Linked DNA regions of Oryzias latipes. The protein of the gene in region 2 binds, or shares a complex with, the protein of the main gene of each other region. Links are inferred from orthologs where the notes say so. Each region holds a gene or a part of one and is shown on either strand. Other genes may lie near its edges.

What was found. The genes of interacting proteins can lie anywhere in the genome.
Region 1: zinc finger CCCH domain-containing protein 13 (region 2) and mettl3 share a complex: the UniProt entries of both Homo sapiens proteins name them as parts of the WMM complex. The link is inferred for Oryzias latipes from reciprocal best matches to the Homo sapiens genes ZC3H13 and METTL3.

What each region holds. Positions count from the first base shown.
Region 1 is NC_019876.2:17,633,610-17,637,263, forward strand, and holds part of mettl3 (N6-adenosine-methyltransferase catalytic subunit), read right to left. Parts: intron 3,146-3,654; coding exon 2,955-3,145; intron 2,873-2,954; coding exon 2,417-2,872; intron 580-2,416; coding exon 404-579; intron 1-403. UniProt on the Homo sapiens protein: The METTL3-METTL14 heterodimer forms a N6-methyltransferase complex that methylates adenosine residues at the N(6) position of some RNAs and regulates various processes such as the circadian clock, differentiation of embryonic and hematopoietic stem cells, cortical neurogenesis, response to DNA damage, differentiation of T-cells and primary miRNA processing.
Region 2 is NC_019860.2:22,018,002-22,021,810, reverse strand, and holds part of zinc finger CCCH domain-containing protein 13, read left to right. Parts: intron 1-625; coding exon 626-822; intron 823-1,076; coding exon 1,077-2,315; intron 2,316-2,762; coding exon 2,763-3,371; intron 3,372-3,512; coding exon 3,513-3,653; intron 3,654-3,735; coding exon 3,736-3,809. UniProt on the Homo sapiens protein: Associated component of the WMM complex, a complex that mediates N6-methyladenosine (m6A) methylation of RNAs, a modification that plays a role in the efficiency of mRNA splicing and RNA processing.

The DNA.
Region 1 (3,654 bases), on a different chromosome or scaffold from region 2:
AACAGCAGAAAAACCTTTAAGCTCATGAATTTAAAGCGTTTCGCTTCACGGACAAAACCTGAACTGATCGGAACAAATGTAAGAATAAAAAGATGAGCGAGAAGAGTAAAAATGTAAAATCTGAATTTTATCCTAGAATTAAAGCAAATTACAAAAAAGCAATAGAAAAAAAAAAAGTTCATCCATAGAATTTAATGAGATGTGTGTCAAAAAGCAATGGCTATATAGTTAGATGAGCTGCTTTTTGTTAGATAAATGGCGCCATCTTCAGGTTGAAATAGGTAGTTTTTTTTTTCTAATATAAATATAAAACAGTGGTTTCTTCTAATTCAGCAACATCAAACCAGAGTGAGCTTTAAGAAGTCGAGGGGTCAAATGTTGGGCTTTGAGGCAGAAATCTCACCGGAAGTGCAGCTTGGTGCACGGCTGAGGAGCGTCCCCGGAGCGGACGCACTCCTCTTTGGTCCCGTGGTTGCAGAACTCTTGGACCTGAGCGCGTCCTCGCGAGCGGAACTTCTCCACGATGGACTGCTCTTTGGCGGTGCTGGCGTTCAGCAGCTCAAGGATTTCTCTGCTCACCTGCACACATGTTCAGAAACATGATGATGATGATGAAAGAGCATTGACCTCCAACCTGGGGTCAAATGACGATCAGCTGAAAGTAAATAAAACACTAGATTGTAAATTACATTAAAAAGAAAATAAAAAAAAGCAAACTTTGAAAAAGAAAATTTGAAACAAAAATAATTCAAACTTGCGGTAAAAGAAATATTGAAAATCAGAAAAACAATTAAGTTTGAAACTTAAGTTAAAACCCCCTTTATGTCTATTGATGTAAATGTGCATCGAACCACTTCTGCTGCAAAATTAACTGAATTTATCATCTACTTGAAAGCAAAAACTCAAGTGGAATTTATTTTTTTCAGTTGCAAATAAATTCGAGTCTGGAGGGGTTAAAAAAGAACAAATCTAAAACTGTTACCAAATGAAAAATTATGTTTTTTTGTCACAGCTGCTGTTTTGTATTTTCAACATTTCTTGGTGTTGAGACCATTTTTATGTGGGAGTGGAGCTTTGTTCACATCGCCCCTGGCAACAAGAGCACTTTCATTGAAAGCTCTGTTTAAACGAGGCTTTTGCATTCAAAGCTCTCACTTTCCAGCGGATCTAAACAAATTTTGAATGCGTGTTGAAAGTTAAACCAGGTTGAACTTCAGTCAGAGACTCGTACTTAGTAGTGACGTATGGATGGTGTTCCTTTTAATTCACAAAAGTGGCAACCATTTGAACATGAATCATGGAGGAGAAATGAAGAATTGTAGTTTGTGAATTCAATGACAGCAAGTTTTTCATCTATGAGAATAGAGTTGCCAAAGATTCAACTGATTTGCACGGCTTTGACATTTCACACCAAGCCTCTTCCAACAGTAGAAAAAGAAAAGAGAGGAAAGGAGAGGAATGTGTAATTTTGAGTTTAAAACTGCTTTTTTTTTTTTTTTTTTTTACTAATTTCCAGTTTGGAATTTCACTTCCCTTTAAACTGACCCTGATTTGACCCCAAACAGACCCCAAAAATGTAAAAAATAATGAAGCAACATTTAGCTTTAAAGCTGGAAGCTTCAATCATAACAAATAAAATAAATATTTTCTAATATTATCTCATTCACAAAAATGTCTCAAAAGGATATTTTACAAGAGTATAAATTAAAAATTTTCTTAACTTTTAGGACGTGAAGTTTATTTTATTAAATATCAAACATACTCGTGGTTTGAGTCCACGCAGTTTTCAAACGTTTTTCCACTTTTTGGCCAGAAAAGACCTAATATTTTTCTCGTCTGCGAGCCACATGTGACCATCAAAAGAGCCATATATGGCTCGCGAGCCATAGGTTCCCGACCCCTGTAATATTTCATCTTCTTTACATTTACCAAACACAGGTCCAATTTTCCTTACGGTTTTGCTGCTCAACATTGTTAATGGTTTTGATAATTGGACAAACTCAACAGCATTTAGTAGAAAAGACTTGGTTGATCTCCAGGTATGAGGTTTACATTCGTTTCTAATGTATCAGTCAATATCACTGAGCAATGCATAATTATGGGTGTAGATTTTGAAGAAAAGAAATGTTTACTAAGCTAAAAATGGTGATACTTATTTCCTCTTGGCAAATTAATCGTTGACTTTTGGATTTTATATTTTCTTCTGTTTAACTTTAATCTTACACACACCAGACACCGTTTTATTTTCTCTGTTTTGATTATCCGTGTTGTACACGAACGTTCCCTTGATGTGTAAAAATACATTGAAATCCCACTTTAGACTCTTAACATTGATTACTTGCTTTCCTCCGTCTTTCTATCTGTGAAAACATCAGGAGTGAGGATTCATTTCCGGCAGAGAAAAACATTGGATCACCTTCTTGCTTTGCTGCTCCTTGGTGGACTGCTGGTTTAACAGGCTCTCGATCTCCATGTCCACGTGAGAAGACTGGCTTTTGTTGCTCCTGCCCTTCTTCTCGGCTCCGCCCCCCGACGCAGAGGAGCCAGTCAGCTGGGAGCAGGAGGCGGGCGTCAGGGAGGAGATGGATGAGCGTGGAGGAGAAGCAGAGCTCTGAAGGGAAGGCGAGAAGCTGCCGGCTCTGCTACTGAAGGCCACGTCTTCTGCTTTCCTCTTGACCGCCGTCCTCTGGGATCCCGCCACGGATCCAATCATGGCCCACAGCTTGGTGTGATCCACTGCCACCACGACGGTGGAGGAGGGAACCGCGGAGGAGGCAGAGACGGACGTGGGCTGTCGGACTTCAATGAGCTCCTGAGCTGAGAACTTTAGCAGGAGGCTCTGGATGCATCCATGACTGGCGGCAGCTTCAGGCTTCAGACAGATAAACAAAGAAATCATAGTGTAGAACGCCGCATCCAACAGGTTCTTCAATGATCCCAGAAAACCACCTTACATTGTTGAGTTCATTACTGATGGCAAGGGAGTCTATAGGCAACGAAAGACTCAGGTCAGACAGATATCCCAGCAGCCTTTTCTCCAGCTCAGGATCCGGTGGTTTTTCTGTCTCCTCCTGAGAGCTGGATGGAGCTGGTGGAGCCGGGCTGTCACTCCTGACTGCAGAGCCATCTGGGACGGTCCCACTGTCTGAGAGACCAAGAAGGACCAACACATTGCATTAGAAAAGAAAAGAAAACGCATAAACACATTTAACAGTCGGACTCCGACTATATTTATATCTATTGTTAAACCATTTCCAGTCGTCTTTTAATTATGATTATGCTGTTTTGGCCAAAAGCCTGTGTTGTTTTTCTAAAGACATTTTTTCTTTAAAACGGCAAGAGTTCATCAGGCTTCGCCTCTGAATTGTGACCCTCTGCTGATATCCCATCACCCTCTATTTACACGCTCTTCTGCTAGCTTAAAGCCCCTCAACACTCCCAGCTTGTATTAGGGGTGAAACAAAAATAGCGAGCAATATCAGAGGTATCCAGCCGTACAGTTTTGAGCTGGATGTCAGCTCAGACGAGGAAAATGAAGACGTTACTGTATCTACTTGTTTGCCAGTGGATGGATCAGAGTGGAGCGGAGCTGGGAGACTTTCTGCCGCCCATTTCAAACGCTGCATCACAACTGAAAGCTTTTCCAAATAGTGG
Region 2 (3,809 bases):
TTAGCAGAAAATTAGGAGAAAAATTGCTTTACATTGGACAAAGAAAAGATTATATATTTAAAAGGTGAACATTTCATGACAATAAAGGTGTAAAATTAAAGAGAGAGTCAAAGTTTATGAGAATAAAATTGTGAAGTTATAAGAAAAAGTCTAAATTTTTATAAAAGTACAATTATTTTTTAAAAAAAAGGACATTTTACGAAAACAAACAGACAAATATGAGAAAAGGTTACAAAATAAAGTTGTGATAAATAAATAGTCGTACAATTATAAGAAAAAAAGGCTAAATTTTATCAGAATAATAATGAACTATAAATTATGGAAAATGACATTTAAAAAAAAAAAGACTGATGACATCACACGGCTCAAATATCTCACTAAATCTGCTTAACCTTTTTCCGTGACAAAGCAAGACTTTATAAAGTACTTTTTTCCCCCAATATTTCATGACAATATTCTTTATTCTCATAATTTTATATTTTATTTCCTTATATTCCATTGTAGAGATGCAACACACTTCAGTTTTAGACTTCTTAAATCAGAAATGTGTTCATCCAAAAGTAAAAAAAAAACGATATATGTGTATGTTTAATGTTTAAAAAAAATGATTTCTATTCCTTTTTAGTCGCAAGAGAGCGCGGGTGGAGAGCAGCCCAAGCCCCCGACCCTCCCCGAAGCGGGCGGCGAGAGACTTGAGCCCGGCCGACAGCGACGGCTATAATAGTGCCGAAGATAAAAGTGAGCGCCCTATTGGCCGAGGGCCGGCCAAGCTCCACCCACAGCCCCTCCTCCCCAGCCCCGTGTGTCTGCCTCCATCTGACAGTAGGAAAAAATCTCTTTAAAACAGACGCACTCCTGTTTTTGGAGGAAATGCGCCTCTGCAGCACTTTCTCAACCGGCATGCTTTGACTTCTGGTTTGGCTAAAATGTTTTTCATTTTCTGGCTGTCGGTGCAAATTTTACTGTCAGACAAAAAAATGTGGAACTTTTACCAAAGCAAACGTAGTTTTTCTTGGAAAATCTTTGCTAATGTTGGAGAAAAAAACGCTTTGAAATATCGACTGTTTCCTGTCCAGGTGGAGACAAGCACCGTCTGCACAGCCAAGTGGTGAGACCTCAGGATCGCCTGTCGCGGTCGCCACCGAGAGGCGCCGCTTCGGACGACAAAGCCCCCCACTGGAAAGACGAGGAGCGCCGAGGAGCTGCGGAGAAAAGGGAAGCACGGGGCCGAATCGAGGAGCCGGAGCCTCGCAGCGCGGAGCGATGCCGAGGAGCAGAGAGGCGCGGGGAGTACCTCCCTGAAGCCGAGACCCGCGGTAGAGGGAGAGACCAGCGCGAATCGAGTCCTCCGCCGCCGCCACCGCCGCCTCTTGCAGCCATCGCCACTCGCGGTGAAGACAGAGACACTGCTGGCTCTCAGGCCAACGAGGAGGGCAAGAAGAAGGTGAAGTCGCAGAGGAAGGGCATGAAGAAAGCTCGGAAAGAGGATGGAGCCGCCTGTGGAAACCGTCTCGCTGCTCCGGCGGAGCGGTTCAACCCTGAGCCTCCGCCCCCCGCCTCTGCAGACGTGCCTCCGCTCATGCCCTCACCAAGGAAAGGAGCCAAGAAGAAGGCGCTCGACCGGAAGAGGAAGCGGTCGCGAGGAGAAGACTCTGAAGCCTCTGAGGAGGACGCGTCGGCGCCTCCGCCTCACAGTAAGAAGAAGAGAGGACCTCGGACTCCACCCCCCTCCATGAGGCCGGACCACCGGGGAACCGGAGGCAACGCAGAACCGTCGCCGCTCTCCAAAGTGGACAACTTCAGTGACTGGTCGGACGAGGAGGTGACGGACCGGAGCGTCCCTATGGAGAAACAAGCCCCTCCCAGTTCTGGAGACAGAGCTCCGATGGAGACTCTGAGGAGAGGCGGAGCCCCCAGGATGGGCAGAGACAGGTGTAACCCACCTGCCATCGCCCCGCTGCTTTCCCAGGACCCCCCCATGCTGATGCAGACTATGGCCCCGCAGCCTCTCATGTTGCAGCCCGTGCTCCGCAAACTGCCCCCGGAGCAACCGCGCAGCAGCAGCATGGGGAGCAACCAGAGCCGGACGTCCTCCCGGCGCCCCCGCTCACCGTCCAACGAGTCGGGACACAGGGACGACCACCAGGGTCTGCGGCCGCGCCGGGGACGGCTGCATGGCGCCAACTCCCGAGATCGGGAGAGGGAGCGAGAGCGCGAGAGGGAGCGGCCGGCGCTCGGGGACGCTCCGGGAGCTGAGAGGAAGTCCAGAATCGACCAGCTGAGGAGAGGAGAGCCCAGCCGCAGCACGTCGTCAGGTACGTCTTCATTCTCAAACCGGATTTCCGCTGCTCCGTGCAGTGCACGCGTCTGCCTTGCGTTTCATGAGGAGTCTGTCAGTTAGTCTACATGAGCTCTATTGCGTCTCCAAGATCTTATAAAGTTCTATTTTGAATCCCACACCTGTTTCCTGTTCCTCTGGCTTTTTGATGGGAAATACTCCTGTAAAAGACGGACGTCAGACACGACGGAGGCGATGTACGCATTCCCATTGATTATTGGACGTTCTATTTTCTTGCCTCAACGCAAAGGAGACAAACTGCAGGCTTTATTCCGGGTAATCCAGATCCTGGAGATCCACCACCCACCTGCTGGCTTTTGGTTTCCTGGGTCGGGTGACTCCAGGATCTCCACCACCAGGGGTGGGAAAAGTAGTGGCCTAAACCTCGAATATTTGTAATCCAGCAGAGTCGTTTGTTTCACAGACCGTCAAGACTCCCGCAGCCACAGCTCCAGACGCAGCTCTCCCGACTCTGAGAGGCAGGCGAGGTCCAGGTCTCGAGCCGGCTCCTACGACAGCCGGGAGCGGGACCGGGAGCCGTTTGACAGGGACCGAGAACGCGACCGAAAGGAGCTGCGGCCCCAGCAGCAGCCGCAGCAGCCGCCGCTCCTCCAACAGCCCCTCCAGCAACAGAGAGACTGGGAGCCAGAGCCCAGAGACTGGCAGGGCCGTGGGCGGGAGACCCTCGGAATGCGCCCGGGTCGGGAACCTTTGATGAGGGACCGCGACGCCAGAGACCGCGAGCGCCTTCTCCCCGAGGGGATCATGCAGCAGCACGAACGAGAGAGGGAGCGGGACAGGGACGGCAGGGCCGAGAGGGGAGCTGATCGGGAGAGGGAGAGGATGATGATGATGGACCTGCCGCCACTCGGAGACCCCAGGGCTCCGGGTCGAGGAGACGCCAGGCAGGAGAGGGTTGACTATGAGCCACTGCTGCCAAGGGAAGCCTTCAGTCCTGCAGAGGAGAAACCCAGCAACAGTCACCAAGCTGTGGGAGATCAGAGGGAGCTGGAGAAGAACGACAGCGTGGACGGTAAGGGCATTGACGCAGAGCCATCCTCTGGGACCTGTCTATAACCTGGAGGGAGTAAAATCCTACTAAAATTCAGAAAGTATTCTTCTTACCCTCACCTCCTCCTCTCCTTAAGGGATTTTGTGTGCGCTGTGTTTTCAGGCGACGATGACGCTAAAGAAGAGGAGCAGTCTGTGGCGTCCGTTAGAGAAGATTATGAACCAATCAGTGACGACGAGCTGGATGTGATACTGGCCGACAGTCAGAAGAAAGAAGATCAACCAGAGGAGGAGAAAGTCACTGGTACCGATAACAAAGCATTTCTTTTATCGTAAGTTTGTTTACAGCAAGAAAGCTTCACGCCGCACCTCCTTCGTCGCCGTAGGTCCTCTGGACGTGATCGACGTGGACTGGTCCAGCCTGATGCCCAAACAGAAGCAGGAGCCGCGGGCCGCAGGA